Arabidopsis thaliana: one gene and its partners. The protein of the gene in region 1 interacts with the protein of each later gene in a pairwise test. Each region holds a gene or a part of one and is shown on either strand. Other genes may lie near its edges.

The links.
Region 2: the proteins of CUL3B (region 1) and RBX1 interact in binary tests that used the Arabidopsis thaliana proteins (3 or more experiments, as listed by UniProt).
Region 3: the proteins of CUL3B (region 1) and AT1G21780 interact in a two-hybrid assay, tested with the Arabidopsis thaliana proteins (2 studies listed by BioGRID).
Region 4: the proteins of CUL3B (region 1) and ABAP1 interact in a two-hybrid assay, tested with the Arabidopsis thaliana proteins (one study listed by BioGRID).

Annotation. Positions count from the first base shown.
Region 1 is NC_003070.9:26,201,446-26,206,589, reverse strand, and holds CUL3B (cullin 3B), read left to right. Parts: upstream 1-1,794; 5' UTR 1,795-2,036; intron 2,037-2,133; 5' UTR 2,134-2,147; coding exon 2,148-2,308; intron 2,309-2,383; coding exon 2,384-4,421; 3' UTR 4,422-4,604; downstream 4,605-5,144. Other genes in the region: AT1G69680 (ran guanine nucleotide release factor, putative (Mog1/PsbP/DUF1795-like photosystem II reaction center PsbP family protein)), read right to left, coding at 22-169, 328-404, 492-539, 619-705, 1,016-1,153, 1,253-1,288, 1,368-1,442. UniProt on the Arabidopsis thaliana protein: Component of the cullin-RING ubiquitin ligases (CRL), or CUL3-RBX1-BTB protein E3 ligase complexes which mediate the ubiquitination and subsequent proteasomal degradation of target proteins.
Region 2 is NC_003076.8:6,956,144-6,960,049, forward strand, and holds RBX1 (RING-box 1), read right to left. Parts: upstream 2,169-3,906; 5' UTR 2,079-2,168; coding exon 1,943-2,078; coding exon of another isoform or gene 1,889-1,942; intron 1,816-1,888; coding exon 1,765-1,815; intron 1,671-1,764; coding exon 1,611-1,670; intron 1,198-1,610; coding exon 1,126-1,197; intron 953-1,125; coding exon 881-952; intron 800-880; coding exon 762-799; 3' UTR 517-761; downstream 1-516. Other genes in the region: AT5G20560 (Glycosyl hydrolase superfamily protein), read left to right, coding at 1-238; AT5G20580 (TMEM192 family protein), read right to left, coding at 2,647-2,736, 2,890-2,952, 3,137-3,229, 3,394-3,453, 3,607-3,666, 3,848-3,906. UniProt on the Arabidopsis thaliana protein: Component of the SCF (SKP1-CUL1-F-box protein) E3 ubiquitin ligase complex, which mediates the ubiquitination and subsequent proteasomal degradation of target proteins.
Region 3 is NC_003070.9:7,650,069-7,654,561, forward strand, and holds AT1G21780 (BTB/POZ domain-containing protein), read left to right. Parts: upstream 1-1,858; 5' UTR 1,859-1,929; coding exon of another isoform or gene 1,930-2,181; 5' UTR 2,182-2,407; coding exon 2,408-2,520; intron 2,521-2,599; coding exon 2,600-2,745; intron 2,746-2,985; coding exon 2,986-3,101; intron 3,102-3,192; coding exon 3,193-3,798; 3' UTR 3,799-3,946; downstream 3,947-4,493. Other genes in the region: FBP7 (F-box protein 7), read left to right, coding at 35-248, 383-456, 551-604, 700-807, 896-954, 1,186-1,396, 1,486-1,545; AT1G21770 (Acyl-CoA N-acyltransferases (NAT) superfamily protein), read right to left, coding at 1,775-1,858, 1,930-2,181; AT1G21790 (TRAM, LAG1 and CLN8 (TLC) lipid-sensing domain containing protein), read left to right, coding at 4,289-4,493. UniProt on the Arabidopsis thaliana protein: May act as a substrate-specific adapter of an E3 ubiquitin-protein ligase complex (CUL3-RBX1-BTB) which mediates the ubiquitination and subsequent proteasomal degradation of target proteins.
Region 4 is NC_003076.8:4,141,201-4,147,660, forward strand, and holds ABAP1 (ARMADILLO BTB protein 1), read left to right. Parts: upstream 1-1,709; 5' UTR 1,710-1,757; coding exon 1,758-2,091; intron 2,092-2,331; coding exon 2,332-2,489; intron 2,490-2,657; coding exon 2,658-2,830; intron 2,831-2,910; coding exon 2,911-3,031; intron 3,032-3,106; coding exon 3,107-3,181; intron 3,182-3,260; coding exon 3,261-3,355; intron 3,356-3,456; coding exon 3,457-3,532; intron 3,533-3,673; coding exon 3,674-3,781; intron 3,782-3,904; coding exon 3,905-4,033; intron 4,034-4,127; coding exon 4,128-4,196; intron 4,197-4,275; coding exon 4,276-4,335; intron 4,336-4,419; coding exon 4,420-4,543; intron 4,544-4,632; coding exon 4,633-4,772; intron 4,773-4,859; coding exon 4,860-4,923; intron 4,924-5,007; coding exon 5,008-5,087; intron 5,088-5,163; coding exon 5,164-5,346; intron 5,347-5,438; coding exon 5,439-5,563; intron 5,564-5,652; coding exon 5,653-5,752; 3' UTR 5,753-5,940; downstream 5,941-6,460. UniProt on the Arabidopsis thaliana protein: May act as a substrate-specific adapter of an E3 ubiquitin-protein ligase complex (CUL3-RBX1-BTB) which mediates the ubiquitination and subsequent proteasomal degradation of target proteins.

The DNA of each region.
Region 1 (5,144 bases):
GTCTTCTCATTTCGCATAGACTCAAGCTGAGGAACCGAAAAGATTCCAGTCATTGACTTTGAATGTAGAGAGTGATTGTTTAATGATATCACACATTGGCATTTTTCCAGATTGTGAAGCTGGGACAGCTAAACCAGATCCCACAGCATCCGCGCTTTCGCTCAGAGGACTGCACAATAATACGCAAACACCTTAGATGAAAAGACATGTGGTACAACAACAACAACAATAACCATATTTTGATATTCAAGTTCTGTATCAAAACGATGCATATCTATATTCAACTGCTTGCAATATAACTGAGTGACTCAACTTTGTGGGACTTACTTTATCAGGATAGGTTCATAGGCAGTCACTAAGACATCTGTATCAACTCCCTTAAGACGAATATTTGCCACATATACCTGCAGAATCATATAAACCAGTTGGTGTCTCAAGTAACAAACCCCTTTAGAATAAATAGAGAGACAGAACAAGGAGAAGCTTCATACTCTCACTAGGTTTTGTGCTTCTCTTCCCTGTCTTCCTTTGGATATAGCCTGTAATGATCCTTGTTAAGGAGAAAACAAATAGAAAGGAAAATTATGAGCAAAGACATCATATGTTTATGGACATTACCATCTCTCCAATAGCAGTTGTCGCAACAGCAGAGATGTTTCTGAAAGACAGTCCAGGCGCCTCAATGACCTCTGATTGCTCAATCAACTGAAAATTACACAGCAACATTACTAGATTGTCTTCTTCATATATATCATCAATCTTGGTAAAGATTAACCAAAAACACACCAGTATTAGTTCTATTTCGACTAGTTTCAGAGACTGAATCCACAATAACCAAAAAACAGCCTCACTAGTATCATCACAGGCAAAAAGGTTCCAACTTTGGGAAATCTATACACGTTAAACTCTATGTTTGTACTCAAGATACTAGATGTATTCTAGAGAAATAACAACACTAGTTCTTAAAGTTGGTTTGTCTACCATAAGAAGAGTTCTAGTGTAGTAGTGGTATTACCTGAAATCCTTCAGCATCTTGCTCACTCGCAAGATCATTAAGGAACCAAGAGGCACTGCCAATGTCACCAACCTCAGCCTTGAAATCCAACAACTCAAAAATCAAACTCTCATCTCTTGAAGGATCCACAAACACTTCCTGTGAAAACCAAACAATCAAACACAAATACAGAGTAAACTAGAGATTCTTCTACACATGTACTTACAAACAATGCCACTGAGAATAGAACCACCAAACCTGATGATCTGGAACTTGTCGGATATTACTCACATCCTGAAGATTCACAATAAGGAAGAAATGAGGAAACCAGTGAATTTCAATTAAGCAGCGAAAAGGGTTTTATTGAAAGAACCTGAAATCTTTGAGGGAAGACGGTGGAAATAGCGCCACCAAACAAAGGCCTCACCGAACATAACTCAACAGACATGTTTTGCTACATTCAAAAAACAAAATCCTCAAAAAACTAAACTTTGCCAGAAAAAAAAAATGCACTCACAAACATAACAGAATCGATTAGGGATTAAAGAGAAGAGAGAAGAGTACCAAATTGATCGATTGATGTATCTGGGGAAGTAAAAGAGAAGAACAAAAGTAGCAGAGAAATCAAAAAGTTGGAGTTTAGTATTTATATGAAAGTCAGAATCGAAAGAAGCGTTGCTTTGACGTCCCAACAAGTAGCTTTAACTTAACGCAAACAATTAAAAAAACAAACGATTAGCGTTCTTCAATCAACAATGTCTGCACTCTGCAAATTCACGATTGAGAAGAATGAGAATTACCAAGCGACATCGTTTAAATTAATACCGTAGTTTTTTTTAACAAAAGCCCAGGCCCATCTGTTTTATCTAGCCCATTTTAAACAAATAGAGATAATCAAAACCACTGGGATAATAATAAGATTTAATTTTTTTTCTTCCGCTATCATCATCAATCATCATCATCATCGTCTTCAAGACTTCAACCTTCAAATTCTTCATCACAAACCCTAACCTCCAATTTCTGATTCTACGATTGATCTAAGGTTTTAATCAATTCTTCTATCATCATGATTTATTCCTCGAATTTTTTCCGATTTTCCTTTGAACTGATTTTGTGGTCTCTCTTACTTTTTGGTTCAGTTTCATTTTCAACAATGAGTAATCAGAAGAAGAGAAATTTCCAGATTGAAGCGTTTAAGCAACGAGTCGTCGTTGATCCAAAATACGCCGATAAAACTTGGAAGATCCTTGAACATGCGATTCATGAGATTTACAATCACAACGCTAGTGGTCTCAGTTTCGAAGAGCTTTACAGGTACACTTCCATAGATTTCACTTTGATTCATCTCTTGTTGTTGTTGTTCTGCTAAACTTTGGTCGCTTATTTCAGAAACGCATACAACATGGTTCTACATAAGTATGGTGATAAGCTTTATACTGGACTTGTTACCACTATGACATTTCATCTCAAAGAGATATGTAAGTCTATTGAAGAAGCTCAAGGAGGAGCATTTTTAGAATTGCTTAATAGGAAATGGAATGATCATAACAAAGCGTTGCAAATGATTAGGGATATTCTCATGTATATGGATCGTACTTACGTTTCTACTACTAAGAAAACTCATGTTCATGAGCTTGGACTTCATCTCTGGAGAGATAATGTTGTGTATTCGAGTAAGATTCAGACTAGGCTATTGAATACGCTTCTTGATTTAGTTCATAAGGAACGGACTGGTGAAGTTATAGATAGGGTGTTGATGAGGAATGTGATTAAGATGTTTATGGATTTAGGTGAATCTGTTTATCAAGATGATTTTGAGAAGCCGTTTTTGGAAGCTTCTGCTGAGTTTTATAAGGTTGAGTCAATGGAGTTTATTGAGTCTTGTGATTGTGGTGAGTATTTGAAGAAAGCTGAGAAGCCTTTAGTGGAAGAAGTCGAAAGGGTTGTGAATTATTTGGATGCTAAGAGCGAAGCGAAGATTACTAGTGTGGTTGAAAGAGAGATGATTGCTAACCATGTGCAGAGACTAGTTCATATGGAGAATTCAGGTTTGGTTAATATGCTTTTGAATGATAAGTATGAGGATATGGGTAGAATGTATAGTTTGTTCCGTAGGGTTGCTAATGGTCTTGTAACGGTTAGAGATGTTATGACTTTGCATCTTAGGGAAATGGGAAAACAGTTGGTTACTGATCCAGAGAAATCAAAGGATCCGGTTGAATTTGTGCAGCGTCTATTGGATGAGCGGGATAAGTATGACAGAATTATCAACATGGCATTTAACAACGATAAGACGTTCCAGAATGCGCTAAATTCTTCGTTTGAGTATTTCGTCAACTTGAACACACGTTCTCCTGAGTTTATCTCCCTGTTTGTTGATGATAAGCTACGAAAAGGACTAAAAGGTGTGGGAGAGGAGGATGTCGATCTTATTCTTGATAAGGTGATGATGTTGTTTCGCTACTTACAGGAGAAAGACGTTTTTGAGAAATATTACAAACAGCATCTGGCGAAAAGGCTTTTATCTGGAAAAACTGTGTCGGATGATGCAGAGAGGAATCTGATAGTGAAACTGAAGACGGAATGTGGGTATCAATTCACTTCGAAACTTGAAGGTATGTTCACTGACATGAAGACCTCACACGACACGCTGCTAGGATTTTATAATAGCCATCCCGAGCTTTCAGAAGGACCTACACTTGTTGTTCAGGTTCTCACAACCGGTTCTTGGCCCACACAGCCAACCATACAATGTAACCTACCTGCAGAAGTTTCTGTTCTGTGTGAGAAGTTCAGGTCATATTACCTCGGGACTCACACCGGTAGGAGATTGTCTTGGCAAACGAATATGGGAACAGCAGATATCAAAGCAGTGTTTGGAAAGGGTCAGAAGCATGAACTAAACGTTTCGACTTTCCAAATGTGTGTCCTTATGTTGTTCAACAACTCTGATCGACTAAGCTACAAAGAGATCGAACAGGCAACTGAAATCCCCACCCCAGACCTAAAGCGTTGCTTGCAGTCAATGGCGTGTGTAAAAGGTAAAAACGTGCTAAGAAAAGAACCAATGAGCAAGGAGATAGCAGAGGAGGACTGGTTTGTTGTGAACGACAGGTTCGCAAGCAAGTTCTACAAAGTGAAGATAGGAACTGTGGTGGCACAAAAGGAGACAGAACCAGAGAAGCAAGAGACAAGACAGAGAGTAGAAGAAGACAGAAAACCTCAGATCGAAGCAGCCATCGTGAGGATAATGAAGTCTAGACGAGTGTTGGATCACAACAACATAATCGCAGAGGTCACCAAACAGTTGCAGACGCGGTTCTTGGCAAACCCAACAGAGATAAAGAAGAGAATTGAATCACTCATTGAGCGTGATTTCTTGGAGAGGGATAATACAGACCGGAAACTTTACCGCTATCTAGCGTAAAAAAGTCTGGATTGATTACACGGTCCCTCTGTTTATTTCGCATCGTTTCTTCTGTTAGTCAGCATTTCTTATTTGTTCTGTAGTCTGGTAAGTTATAAACATTTTGTTTCCGTTTTGAAAAGAAAATATTGATTTGCCTGTTATTGATCAAACCCATATACATCATCAAAGATATATAACCAGAGCGAGCATTTGCTTAACGGACTAATCTGTGCATCACACAGTTGCTTAACGGATATCTCCAACGTAGCTAAAAAGCTTGGTCTCTCTAATAATAACAATCTTCTCATACGAAAAGCTGCAGAATTTGGCCGTTTATGCGATGTCTAATTCGATTCTTCAATCATCGGAATCGTAAGATAACTCTTTACACTCAATCCAAAATGATACAATCTCCTTCCTTCTTCATTGAAATTGAATTTTTTTTGTATTGACTAATTGAATCACAGGGCGAGATTTGTAAAGCTGTTATATGTCCTGAAATCGCAGCATCTAGGTATAATGGAATGTTAAAGACTTATGTGTGCATTGATTTGGGTGATTGAAGTAGCTTAAGGTAGACAAGCTTAGGTTGATTGAAGTTTGTGGGACATCAGAATCTGAATTTCATTGTGTAAGTAGCACCAGTTTCTCTAACATGCAATTCAATCTTCAAAGTACTGATTTAGGACTGTGTGATCAAACAGGACTTGACCTCCATGATGGACCTTTGCTTTGACTTTT
Region 2 (3,906 bases), on another chromosome or scaffold:
GAAAGGTTTACCTTTGGTGGTGTCGGAGACCGGGTGGCCCTCTGCCGGGAATGGAGGCATGACGACACCGGCTCTTCAATATACGTACATTGGTAACTTTGTGAAGCATGTTGCAAGTGGTAAAGGAACGCCTAAGAGGCCAAATAGTAGAATTGATGCGTATATATTTGAGACGTACAATGAGAACCAGAAGCCAGTTGGAATCTATCAGCATTTTGGGTTATACGATCCTTACTGAGACGACGCCCATGTACACGCTCTTCTGATCCTCGATGTTGTGTTCAAGTGGTCAGTTTTTACTGTTTCTCTTAAGAATCTGTGTTGTCAAAATAATGCTCTAGTATTGTTTGTTTAGGGGTTGAAAGACCCATTTAATAAAACTTATGGTTTATAATCTAAGTGGGTTTCGAGTTAGCCTTATTAGAAATTTCACTTTAGTATTTGGAACTACTAAATTGAAGGAAAACACAATTGAGGATCAAAAGAGCGTTTGGTACCCAGCTCCTATGTTTTTTTACGAGTAAAAAACTCTTTGCAGGATTTTTACTTTTTAATTTTGAAATCAAAGACGTCACCCAAAGCACAACCATAATAGGTTTAGTGAACACTGAACAGTAAATCTCTGTTTCCACAAATTGTAAAATACAGTACCAAAAAAAGGGCAAAAACTTGAACAATCTTTAGTTATCATATGCGGTGGTAACCAAATGAACCTGATGTCTTCACGATTAGACACATGCTTGCTGGAACCATTTGTTGATTTAGTGACCATATTTCTGAAACTCCCACTCACTGTTATCTGTTGAAACAACTCAGCAATATTAGCAAACAAACAAAAACTGCATACTAGTCAAGAAGCTTAAAACCAAGAAACACATACCCAATGGACAAACTTGACGAGTCTTTAGCCATCTGCTGATGCAGTGAAAGTGGAAGGCGTGATTGCAAACCCCTGCAAGTACATATTGAGTATCTTTCGTTAGGGAAGGCACTAAATAATTTATGTATATCCACTTGAGTTGTCACATTATAGAAAAAAGATTCGAAAAGGTCATCACACAATCACATACATCTTAAAGGAATACTTCCTACTTTCTCTAATACTTCCTAGCTAACAAGATTCACCCTCCAAGTGGTCATCTTTCATTGAGCAATCAAGAATACAGAAATACTTATTGCAGTTATTTTGGTCGTCCTCTGAGTTTTTAATTCATCATCAATCGTACAATCAACTGCAAGACTATGAAAGCATGTAAACACAATAACTACAATTTGGTCTCTCTCTCTCTCAGAAAATCTTTAAAACTCCATAAATCTAATCAACTGTACTACTCATCGACCAATCTAGATTGCTGCAAAACAAGGAACAGGGTCTGCTCTCAAATAAAGCAAAGACATCTATCAGAGTGATACTACCACATAAGTAAAATTCAATGTCAAGTTTTAAAACACGCACTCAGAGATACTAAAATTGTTTCACACAACACTTTCGCATACAGTTTTGTGTTTCTAGATTCACAATTACGATAGCTACAATTATAAACCAAATCAAGTTTCCAAACAAAAAGCAACGATTGAGATCATGATCATAGAAGAAGAAAAATGCTTACCCCAAGCTACAGTGCACTCTTCACTTGTGGCACTGGCCTGATTAGCCTGACACTCGATACCTAACAACAAACCAAAACACAAAAACGAAATAAGCATAAACATTCAACATCATCGTTACAAATTCCAAAATCAATCGATTGTTTTAAGACTTACAAAGATCCATGATGTGGTTTCTGCAGATCGCACAGTTGTCAACAACGATATCTGCAACCAAAACAAAGATCAATCAATCAATAAAACTCTTAACCTAACCAAAAATTAACATCGTAACACAAACATCGAAACATCGAAAGACCAATTGAAGATAGTGTATAAGGATTTTCGAGGTTACCCCAAGCCCAGAGAGCAACGGCGCTCCACTTCTTAATTTCGAATCGCTTAGCTTTCTTGTTGGAAGACGACGCGGCTACGCTGCTGGAGGCTTCTCCGGCAGGAATCATGGTAACGTCGGAGTCTAGAGTCGCCATTAATCTCTGATCGGAAAGAAAATTTAAACCCTAGAAAAGCCGGAGAAAAATATCAACGTTTGAGCTGTCGCTGATTTTGTTGTAGAGAGAGATTGTAGAGGAAGAAGAAGAGAGATATATAAAGCAGCTTTGGGCTTTGCCTGTATAGTGGGCTTTCGTCGGAATTAGATTCCCGTAAATTTCCATAATTCGGTTTAAGGTTTCCTTTTTTTAATCTTACTCATCCTACGATTTACATAAATATTTTAATTTTTCCTTTATTATCCCAACGATTTTTATTTATTTAATTGATAAATTAAATATTTTTAAGCAAAAAGATTACGGAAAATATCTATTTTATATAATAAAAAAAACATATATATATATTTTTTTCTAACTATTCCCAGAAGATTTACAATAACTATATGACTAATTAACTAATCATTACATACGCTTAGTTCAAATTAACTGGAAAATCATTACATCATAAAAGCTTAGCGTATTCAATGCATCAAGATGTTAGAAAATAGTGTCAAGATATTTTTCTACAAGCCATAAGAGTTGCATATAGTTAGATGATGTATATGCTTCATGCCACCTGCCTCTGGTCTCTGAGAGCTGAAACTTTCTTCCGCAGTTCAATATTTGATATTCTCTCCACCTCCAGAGCTCGTTCAAGCTACACAATCCGTTGGTTTTGGTTTAGCCTCTCATAGTAAACAAAAGGGTTTGAATTCGATAAACTCGATATTGGCTTAAGATTTTTCACTATCATATTGCTGCATCTCTAAAACATACAATGAAGAGAGAGAGAGAGAAGAGAAGATTGTACCTTTGCAGCTCGCATACTCCATTCTCCAAGAATAGCTCTTAACCTTTCATTTTCTGCTACATACTGTTTCAGGAGTTTCAAAAACAAAAGATGATGAGTTCAGGGATCAGAAAAAATGTGTAGCCCTTGCAAATTGTTTGATGCAAAAACAATTCATGGTAAAGCTGTGTTGATGATAAACATGATGTGATGCTGTGAAAGTATGTTTTGTTCTCATATGTTCTTATGTTTATAGATAGACTCGAACCTGATTATTGGTATTCCGGACGTGTTGTATCTCTCTATCTCTCTCAGAGATCAGAGATCGAGCGAGATTAAGCTCTGAATGGAGTTGATCCACCTGCAAGACACACAATTTTCATTTAAAGATGCTACATCAAGGATACTAGCCTTGAAATGTCAATCAACTATGATATGTTTTCCACCAAATGGGTAAAAGAGAGATGAGAAAGAAAAATTAACCATGGGAATTTGCAAGTTTATCATTTGTTAACCGAGCTTTACCTCAGCAGATAGTGTTCGTAATTCCTGATCTCGAGTTGCCACAAGATGCGCCAGATCAACCTGAAAGTTTAACATTTATCAAATGCAAAAATTAAAATCCCAGTGGAAGGAAAAAGTTATACATTACTTTTAAGAAAATTTATTAAGAATGTTGTTAGAATGTGTACACGCTGATAAAAAGAAGTCAAAAATTCAGAATGGAGCAGTTCAAACCTGAGGCGTGCTACTACCATTCGTTTCATATTTACTTAAGGACTCCTGCAAACGCAGAATCTGAAACAAAACAAGAGAGGTCAGAGACTCACTCTAACGAAAGCATGGGAAAATTCAGAAAATTAGGGTAGACAATGAAGAGCTAGAGAGAGCATTGAACTTAGAATTACTAGTAAGAAACATCACAAGCATCAAGATTCAGAAATGAAGTACTCATGATAAATATTCCATGGATTGTCACCTCTTCACTGAGATAATGGAGATTCTCGCGTTGATATTGCAGTAGAGCCATTTGTTGAT
Region 3 (4,493 bases), about 19 Mb from region 1:
TGGAGAAGTTGATTCTTGGATATGTTACTTGTAGGTGTTTGCTCGGATGATGCCTTATGACTTAGGTAGAGCATCTTGTGTTTGTAGAAAGTGGAGGTACACAGTTCGAAACCCTATGTTCTGGCGTAATGCCTGCTTGAAAGCTTGGCAGACTGCTGGGGTTATCGAAAACTATAAGATCTTGCAGTCTAAATATGATGGATCATGGAGGAAAATGTGGCTTCTTAGATCCAGAGTTCGTACTGATGGTAATCTTTCTTTCTTCATCCTCTTGCTTCACGACATTCTAGCGCCAAGTGATTGTTTTCTTTTGTATGCTCTGACTAACATCGTGTCTTGTTATATCTTTATTGATTAAAGTAACTATGTATCTTCTTCTCAGGTCTTTATGTGAGTAGGAATACTTACATTCGAGCTGGAATTGCTGAGTGGAAGATTACAAATCCAGTTCACATTGTAAAGTCTTTGTCTTTTTCTTTCTTTTCTTCTTCATCTGTCCAATACAGACACATATAATAATCTGCGTCTTCTTTTGGAAAATTTGTTGCAGGTTTGTTACTACCGCTACATAAGGTTCTACCCTTCTGGCAGATTTCTTTACAAGGTTTGCACTCTTCGATATAAGTAGGTATAAACGTTGAGCTACTGGTGGGATCTAGTCTGATAATGATCCATCCGTATTTGTTGTTATTCCTTCAGAACTCTTCACAGAAATTGAAGGATGTTGCCAAGTACATGAACTTTAAGGCTTCTAAATCTGAAAATCTTTACAAAGGCACTTATACACTGTCAATGTCGGATGATAAGGTTAGCTCCCTCTACTGCCTTTTGGCTGGTAATCAACAACATTACATCTTCATAATCCTGATTACTGAAAAACATGTTCTTTTTGCAGATCGAAGCAGCTGTTCTGTACCCAGGGACACGCCCTACTGTCTTAAGGATTCGTTTAAGGTACTTCAATCCCTCAAAATATGTGGATAGAGAAGACTTCTTTTTAGTAATAGCATTTAGAACCTTGGTCTGGCATTGGGAAGAAGGCCTGTTACTTATCTTTTAAAGTACCGTGTCTAGTACATTCATCTAAGACTTATCTGATCCGGTGAATGTGATGGGGTTGAAATTTTTAGTAGCTGATAGTCATTTTGATCTTCTTGGTGTGGATATGTTTTCGGGTGTGGTTAGGTTAAGAGGAACAGCTATTGGAGCGAATAACAGGATGGATTTGCTGTCACTTGTGACAAGTGGTGTGAACGATGAGGAAATAAGCAGCACAGAAGAAGACATTCTTGGGTTAGTTGAAGGTTGGGAAGACGATGAAACTCACAACCCGGATATACCTGCCGTCTCACACAAGAGGGGTATGACTGCATTCGTCTTCGTTCCTTTCGAAGAGGTAAGTAAACTATAAATTATTGTATACTCTTCCCACCTATAATCTTAGTTACATTGATTTGATCTGAATATCTTCCTTGATGTTATTAGGTTGACGAATCGGTTCTGAACTTGCCACCGGAGAAAATGGATTACTATGTCACTGGCTAAAGAGACACATCGAAGTTTCTGTACAAAAATGTATCATAGAATAATGTTTTCACGTTATATTTATTGTTACGACAAACATTAGTGTTTGTTTGTTGCTGTCGAATTGTGAAAAACATACATTTTGGGATTTTTGTTTGTTTACAGAGATTACTTGAAACAAGCTTTACTATTGTAAGATAATGTTTTCAAGTTTTTATTATACACCAAAAGGCTTTAAAGCAGGACTTGATCAGATGCTAGACTTGAGGTTCTTGGAATCATCCTCTGAGTGAACCAGACGCTGCCACGTTGGGTTTCGATGAAGAAACGTTTCCTGCAAAACACGACATATTTTCATAAGAATCTGATTCATCTCAATTTTTTGAGGAAAGAAGAGATGTATACGGAAACGTAGGAGCAAGTGGGGATGATGGAGAAAGAGTGTTCAGAGGCGTGTTCGAAAGCGGCGACGCATAGATGCGAAGCTAAACCAAGTCCTGCTTTTGACGGCGGTACGAAGGTTCGAACCAGATCCATGACTTTACCGTCATTCTTCATCTTGTACTCTATGAAGGCTTCGTGATCATCAGTCTCGAATCTATGTCTTCCTTCGTTCCACACGATCTTCGGTTTCTCCGTCGCCGTCCCCGTCGCCATTTTATCTGTTATCTCTCTAAGTCTAAGTCCACTCTCTTTCATTTCAAACCGAGAATTGATTTTAATATATCGTTAGTAAACCGGTTTAATGGATAAAAACGTATAATCGTCGTACACGTGGCAGGCGATGGAGGCGGCAGAGTGTTTTGCTTGCTTCGTCGTGTTATTTGGCGTGAAGTAAAGAGTTCAGAGAGAAAAGGAAGTCAAAACTTCAGAGAGAAAGTGGATGGGGGACACGAAGGTAGAGACAATCTCGAGGTTAGCTCAATGGAGAATTGAAAATTTTGGTCCTTGTTCTTTCAAAAAGTCCGATCCTTTCAAAGTCGGAATTTGGAATTGGTAAGCTTTTCATTTTTGGTTTATTTTGGTAAATTTTCTTCGGAATTTTGATTTTTGTTTGTTTTGGGATATGATGAAGGCATCTGTCTATAGAGAGGAATCGCTATCTATCAGTGAGGCTATTCCCAGAACTTTCTCGAGTATCTAAAGAGCAACCTCCTGTTGCCAAATTTGTTCTTCGTGTCTCCAACGTTGGCCCCAATCGTAGATTCTACATCTCTCCTGGTATGTCTTGTCTTTGAATTGACTTTTCTGGATTTGGAATTTGAATTCTATTGTCGAGCTCGAATTAGGTATTTCAGGAAAGGGAATTACCTTTTATGTGGGAACTATATTCAATTATGTGGAATCTGAAAGATATTAATTTAGATGTTAATGATTGGCTGATGATTAGTAGTACCTTATGGGATGGTTACAACTGAATTAGGTTTGTTTAAGCTGAGATACTCTGTTTATTTGGTGCAGTTTATGAGAAGCTGCTGCGTACAACTGATGATTGTGTGTGGCATGTTGACTCCAGTTTCCACGGTCGATTCACCATTGATGTTGAGTTTCTTGATCTCAAAATCTGCCCTGTGAATGTAAGCTTAATGATTCTATTTATACTCTCACAATTTCTTCTCTTTGTAACATTTGTACTTCCATGGTTGATCAAATCAAATCATAATCCAGGGTGGTGAAGCTTCTCCTGTTTGGCCAACCGATGCAACAATGCAATCAATCTCTACTCAAACCACTCTCAAATGCTTATCCCGGATGCTAGAGGAAAGCATACTAACCGATGTAATCATCCACACAGCCGATGGAACACTCTCTGCTCACAAAGCTATCCTCTCAGCTAGCTCAACTGTTTTCAAAAGCATGTTCCACCACGACCTCATGGAAAAGGAATCATCCACAATCCACATAGACGACATGTCGAGAGAATCTTGCATGGCTCTACTAAGTTACCTCTACGGAAACATAACCCAAGAAGAGTTCTGGAAACACAGGCTCGCCCTCCTCGGCGCTGCAAACAAGTACGACATAACGGATTTGAAAGCAGCCTGCGAGGAGAGCCTAATGGAAGATATAAACTCGAGTAATGTGCTCGAGAGGCTACAAGAAGCTTGGCTTTATCAGCTGGAGAAACTGAAGAAAGGGTGTTTGATGTATTTGTTTGATTTCGGAAAGATTTATGATGTCAGAGAAGAAATCAGCAGTTTCTTCAGGCAAGCTGATCGAGAACTGATGCTGGAGATGTTTCAAGAGGTTTTGTCTGTGTGGAAACCGGTCTAATATACACTTACACACATACTTTGAACATTTCAGCTTGATGGTGTTTTGTTTATAGTCTTCTTGTTCTCTTCTGTGTGTGTAACTAACAACAACTCTGGATTTTGTTGTATCACTCTGTCTAATGTATAGTATTGAGTGGATTTGCCTCTAGTTTGGTGTACCGAGCCTCTCAAATGGGCCGAGCCTTTCAAATGGGCTGTGACTAGGCCTAATGACTGTCGACATCGAATGTCGGCACAAAATATGATAATTTTGTCGATGTTGAAATCGTACGTTTTTTGTTTTAATTAGATGAGTCAGCATCAGGAGGATGAAGTATCGACCGACACGTGTCCGTTGCGTCCCAAAGTAAAGCTTATAACGTGAAGGCATTTGTATCGTCTCTTCCGCCAAAATTGGAAATGGATATCGAAGTTTGAGCTAAGAATCCAATTTAGGGTTAACTTTGCCGGATTCTCAAGCAATCTCCGAGAGAGACAGTGAGGTTTCGATGGCGAGGAACGGGATTGGGAGTTCAGGAGGGAAGAAGAATGGGGCTGGGCAGTTTTTCTTAGCGACGCTGCTTCTTTGGCTTGTCTCCGTCGTGTTTGAGATTGCTTTCAATCTCCGGACGGAGCTTCTCTGGGTGATTTGCGGTGGATGCTTCTTTCAATTGATGAATTGGGTTGTTCGTTCATGGATTTCTCGTGACCCTA
Region 4 (6,460 bases), on another chromosome or scaffold:
AATTGGACTGGATATCAAAAGAAAATTTTCAATTTCACCATATGTGTATGATTTTTTTTTTTTTTTTTTAGCGTTTTTAACTTTTTTTTTGTGTTTTAAAGATTACTCAAATTTGCGCTCCAAGTGGAACGAGGGCGCTCCAAGTGGAACGAGGGAACAAATTTAATTTTGCCTCCTAAATGAAAACCAAATTTTAAAGAAGCTACAAATACGCTAGAATTCAGGAATCACCATATGTAATCTCCTGGGTTAACCAAAGCATGTAGCAAACTCTTCTTATATTAATAAGATATTTGGCCGTAAAGAAAAAAAGATATATTGACCTTTGGTTAGATTAAATGGGCTTATGGTTTGATCTAAAGTTTGCGGTAATCACAAATAACTTTAATAATAACACGTTGGATTTTAATAAACAATTTTTCTCCATCGTAGATTTCTAAGTTTCTAATATAGATCTTTTGGATTCACCATTGAATAAGAACACATATTCAGACAAATCAAACCAAAAACCAATTAGACTGTTTTTTCATATGTGCCTCTTTTGAACCTTTTTTCTTAAATGAACAAGTCTAGGCTATACATCCCCTAACCAGGGACCATAAAATTTTATTTCAATTAGACTATTTATCTTGTTGAGCTTTCATTTTTGAACATTGATTTTATATATTTAGTGTTAGAAGAGTTACTAATGTTCTCTTATGTTTTTGTATCATTGGATAATATCAATATTATGAAAGATGACGTGATTGAATGTGTACAAATTGTACTAATGAGTATTGCCTAAGTAAACTTTTTTTTTATTGTCGATGTAAGTATTTTTTATATTGACAGATAAACAACAAATTAAATATCAAAATAATAAAAAATGTTAGAAAAGAGTTTATAGAAAAACTTATACCAATAAGTCAACCTAGCGTTACTAGATTCAAGCTCATTAGCAACATAAAGAATGGGAGCAATCTCAACAACAAGCGAAAAAGAAACAAGTCCACTTTTGAGGTAAAAGAATTTCATAATAATCCATGAAAATAACAATTGAATACATCATAGTTTTCAAATATTTCGCAAATTTGAAATTTCAGAGCAAATTTGAAACACACAGCAACAACAAAAAAAAGATTTTGGTTCTCATATTTGATTTTGACATTACATCGAGGTTAGTTAGACTTCTTTTAGACTAACAATGATAAATAACTTGTGAATTAAATGCAAGATCAACAGTTAGATGAACTAGAAATTTGGCATGAAACCATCAAAAAGAGATACTTAACTATATCAATAAAACGTGTTGATTACGTTATCATCTAGTTTATATGAATTCTATTAATAAATTAACAAAACATGGAAATTTTTTTTTTGATATATTTGTAGATCTATATTGAATATGTGATCATTAAAATCAAGATATCCCAATCCAAAACAATTTTTGGATGAATTAAAAAGTTAATTATCCAAAAGTTAGATTATATTTTTTAGAAAATATATTAAAATTTGTGCTAGGACAATATATCAAAAATAAAATTTTAATTTCACCATATGTGTAGGATTTTTATTTTTAGTTTAGCCTTTTTATTAGTGTTTTAATGAGAAAATAATTTAAAAATCTTTTTGACCAAAAATAACAAAAAAAATGGAAGAAAATAATAAATTCCCTCTGAGTGGAAGGAGGGAAATTTGGCTCCCAAATGAAAAACTAAATTTCAAAACCCCGCCAAATAGGCTTTGGTATTATAAAGAAAACGCTCTCTCCACTCCTGATGATAATCTCAAAATCGTTCAAAGCACCGCTCAAATTCTCCGTCAAATCTTCTACTGCGCCGGTGATATCAAACCATCCGCCAATGGAGAACCATCCCAAGCGCCAGCGAACAACACGCCTCGCCGCCAGAAACTTGAAGCGAAAACTCAGTCACAACACAGATGGAGCGCCAATCGTCACACAACTTATTGATATTGACGACGAACCCATAGATCTCGTCGTCGCGATTCGCCGTCACGTCGAGGTTCTTAACTCCAGCTTCTCAGATCCTGATTTTGATCACGAAGCTGTCAAAGAAGCTGCTGCTGATATCGCCGATTTGGCTAAAATCGGTACCGTACTTCTTCATTTTACCTCTAATCGGCGGCTAAAACTGAAAACGTGTTACTCTCTTTGCTTGTTCGTCCTTGAGTTGCTCAATTTTGAGTCAATTCTCGACAACGGATTCACTCTAATTTTGGATTCTACATAGAAATTGTTTTGTTCTTGCCCATAGTACTTTGATTTTCAGTAAGGCGAGACCTAGAAGTGTTTTTTTTTGGCTTAATTGATTTTCTCATCTGTTTATATAGATGAAAATGTTGAAATCATCGTGGAAAATGGAGCGATCCCTGCTTTGGTGAGATATCTGGAATCCCCTTTGGTAGTTTGTGGCAATGTTCCCAAATCTTGCGAGCACAAGCTAGAGAAAGATTGTGCTCTTGCTCTTGGACTTATTGCTGCGATTCAGGTAACCCTTCTTTCGCTGTTTTTGATGAAATTGTGGATGAGATGTTGTGTAATTTCAATCTCTGTTGGAAGTTAACATTAGAATTTTTGAAATGGGCGATTTGCAACTATCTTAGATGTACTTAGCTTGGATTGATGTATATTGATATTAGCTTTCTCTGTTAAATAGCCTGGTTACCAGCAGCTTATTGTGGATGCTGGAGCCATAGTTCCCACCGTGAAGTTGTTGAAGAGACGTGGGGAATGTGGTGAATGCATGTTTGCTAATGCTGTTATTAGGAGAGCCGCTGATATAATTACTAACATTGCTCATGACAATCCAAGGATTAAAACAAATATAAGGTACTAATATCTCATGATCCTTACTGGTTATGGTGATGACTAGCTGTTTTCACTTGACACCTTTTAAAAATGCTTTACAGGGTTGAAGGTGGCATTGCACCACTTGTTGAGCTTCTCAATTTTCCGGATGTTAAAGTACAGAGGGCTGCGGCAGGGGCCTTGCGAACAGTTTCATTTAGAAACGACGAGAACAAGAGTCAAGTATGTTTTTACTATGATTATGTTTTGTTTAGGCTTATGAAAGGCATGATTCTCACATAATGCGCAACTATGTAGATTGTGGAGTTGAATGCTTTACCCACACTTGTATTGATGCTTCAATCACAAGATTCTACCGTTCACGGGGAAGCGGTTAGTTCTTCATCTTGCTTTAGATCGTTGCAATTGGTTTGATTTGTTCAGTTCTTTCTAATGTACTATGGACTTTCAGATTGGGGCAATTGGAAATCTTGTCCACTCATCTCCTGACATCAAGAAAGAGGTTATCCGTGCTGGTGCCTTACAACCAGTAATTGGTCTACTTAGGTATGCTTATTTTACTTTCTTTCTACTTCTGCTGGAACAGATGCTAGCTCTTGAAATTTTGAATTATGTTTTGTAACTGTTTTTCATGATATCTGCTACAGCTCCACTTGTTTGGAAACACAGAGAGAAGCAGCATTATTAATAGGTCAATTTGCTGCGCCTGATTCAGATTGCAAGGTATGGGATTGTCTCTTTCTTGTTGTACTATAATATTAGCACATGTTATGTTCACTCAAACTCGTTTTTTTCTACGATATAACTGAATGGATTCTAACTAGAGAGAACATATTTAACATAACTGGCAACATGATCATGCAGGTGCACATTGCCCAGAGAGGTGCCATTACACCACTGATTAAGATGCTTGAATCATCAGATGAGCAGGTCGTGGAAATGTCAGCTTTTGCTCTTGGTCGTTTGGCTCAGGTATATATGTTTTTGAATTAGCATGTGAATGTTTTGTTGCTTTTAATATCTGACTCTTTGTAGATGATTGTTAAATCAGACCTTTTGTGATAAAACAAAAATTGTATGTTTTGAATGTTGCAGGACGCACACAATCAAGCTGGCATTGCACATAGAGGAGGCATCATCTCACTACTAAATCTTCTTGATGTGAAAACGGGGTCTGTGCAACACAATGCTGCCTTTGCTTTGTATGGCCTTGCAGATAACGAGGTAAACTCGACTCGCAATGAATAGTATTATATGTAGCTATACTCTTTGCTTACTTGACATACCGTGAGTACTTAATTAATTTTCCCGTCAATAGGAAAACGTAGCAGATTTCATAAAGGCTGGAGGTATTCAAAAGCTTCAAGATGACAACTTTACTGTCCAAGTATGCATTTGACTGCTTATATTTGCAAAACCAATCTAATAAGAATTTCAAACTTTAATTGTAAGTAATCTATTTGCAGCCGACTAGAGATTGTGTGGTTCGGACATTGAAGAGGCTGCAGAACAAGATTCACGGACCTGTGAGTACCTACTTCTGTTAGAACTTCTGGGTCTCAATTATGTTTTGCGATGTTTCTAATCCCCTGATGTCTCAACCTTCTTAGGTACTAAACCAATTATTGTACCTAATGAGAACCGCTGAGAAGACAGTACAAATACGAATTGCTCTGGCTCTTGCACATCTTTGTGACCCTAAAGATGGAAAATTAATCTTTATTGATAACAATGGTAAGCATCTCATATATTCAGAATTTCATTTTCTAATAAAATTTTCTGTGGTTTTTTGTTTCTGATCTATTGAAGTATTACTTATGCAGGAGTAGAGTTTTTGTTGGAACTTCTCTATTTCTCAAGCAATAAGCAGCAGAGATATAGTTCAAGTGCTTTATACGAGTTAGCTAAAAAAGCTACATCCTTTGCACCAGAGGATTCAGCTCCTTGTTCACCCACACAACAGGTAAAAAAATCTCCATTTCTTCTTTCAAGCATCAAATAATTTGTGATTTGAGGTCTTGACTTGTTGTTATTGATTATTATACTGAAGGTGTTTCTGGGTGAAAAATTCGTGAACAACCCCACTATGTCCGATGTCACATTCCTAATTGATGGTATAACATTTAACCCCATTTATGATTCTATAGAATCCACCGGTGAGAACATTCTTTAATGAGTATATCCATGTCCTATGTTAGGTAAACAATTCTATGCACACAAGATTGGCTTGGTAGCTTCCTCTGATATATTTCGTGCAATGTTTGATGGTCTTTACAAGGTAAGCTACTGAATCACGATTGTGGTAACTTATCTCATCAGAATATCATCTAACTAACTTTGAGAACTGGATATAGGAACGCAATGCTCAAAATGTGGAGATACCAAATATAAGATGGGAAGTGTTTGAGCTTATGATGAAGTTCATTTACTCAGGAAGAATTAACATCGCCAAACATTTGGCAAAAGATCTGCTTGTAGCAGCTGATCAATATCTTCTCGAAGGTCTCAAACGTCAATGTGAATACACCATTGCACAGGTAACAAACGTAAAACCAAGGTCTTAATTTTTCTGCACAGAAGGACTAATCTCTCTTGTGTGTTTTTAATAAGATGGACTTTACTTGTGCAGGAAATCTGTCTGGATAACATACCAGAGATGTATGAGTTAGCAGATACATTCAATGCTTCAGCCTTAAGAAGAGCTTGCACGCTCTTTGTTCTTGAGCATTTCACTAAGCTCAGCTCTCAATTATGGTATGCAAAATCATTACATCGTTATAATTTTTTTGGGAAATTTAACTTCTATTTCACTCATCAAGTTTCGATTGATTTACCTAATGCAGGTTTGCAAAGTTTGTCAAGCAAATTATACCTGAAATTCGGAGTTACATGACTGATATTCTCACACGGCCGGTCGAAGCTAGTCCCCCAACCGTCGTATAAAACATATAGGATTCCGGTTTGAAGTAGTTGATTTACTTTACTTAGGTAAAATTGTTTTTCTTTTGATAACCGGTCTGTATTTTGTTACTGCTATATCTCTAATATAAACTGCTTAACTCAATAATACCAAAGAGGCTCTCAAACATAGCTTATAAAATGACTTTTTTTACAAATGGCTGAGAACATCAGACTACAAAATACAAATGGTCGAGAAAACATGGCTCTAAAGCGGCATAGAAAGTTGCTTAGGAAAAATCAAACTCAAAATGTGTAACATTAACTGCAACATGAATACTTCTTGTTACCTTCAGATCTTGAATGCCTTGAAACAGTAACACAAATGTCTGGTTTTTGTCCCTTGTGTTGAAAATGTTTGAACCAAACTTAACAAAAACCACATTGGACATCCATGCTTTTGCCTAATCCTTTTTTTGCTGCATGCATTTGCATAATTTGCATAATCTAAGAAAATTAGTATAATTACTATGTATATAAGAAAATGAGAAAAACATTTAAGGAAAAAAAGTCACAGAGTATGACAATAAATTATGAGTTTTTCAACACAATTAAAGCCCAATAATGAATGAGGTCTCTGAATAGGGCTTAATAAAGGCCCAAAAACTAGTGCCGTCTACGAGAGAGACTGAGAGAGAGAAACATCGTGGTTCGTAAACATAAGCCGCAAGTCTCTCTCTATAAACACCGCCA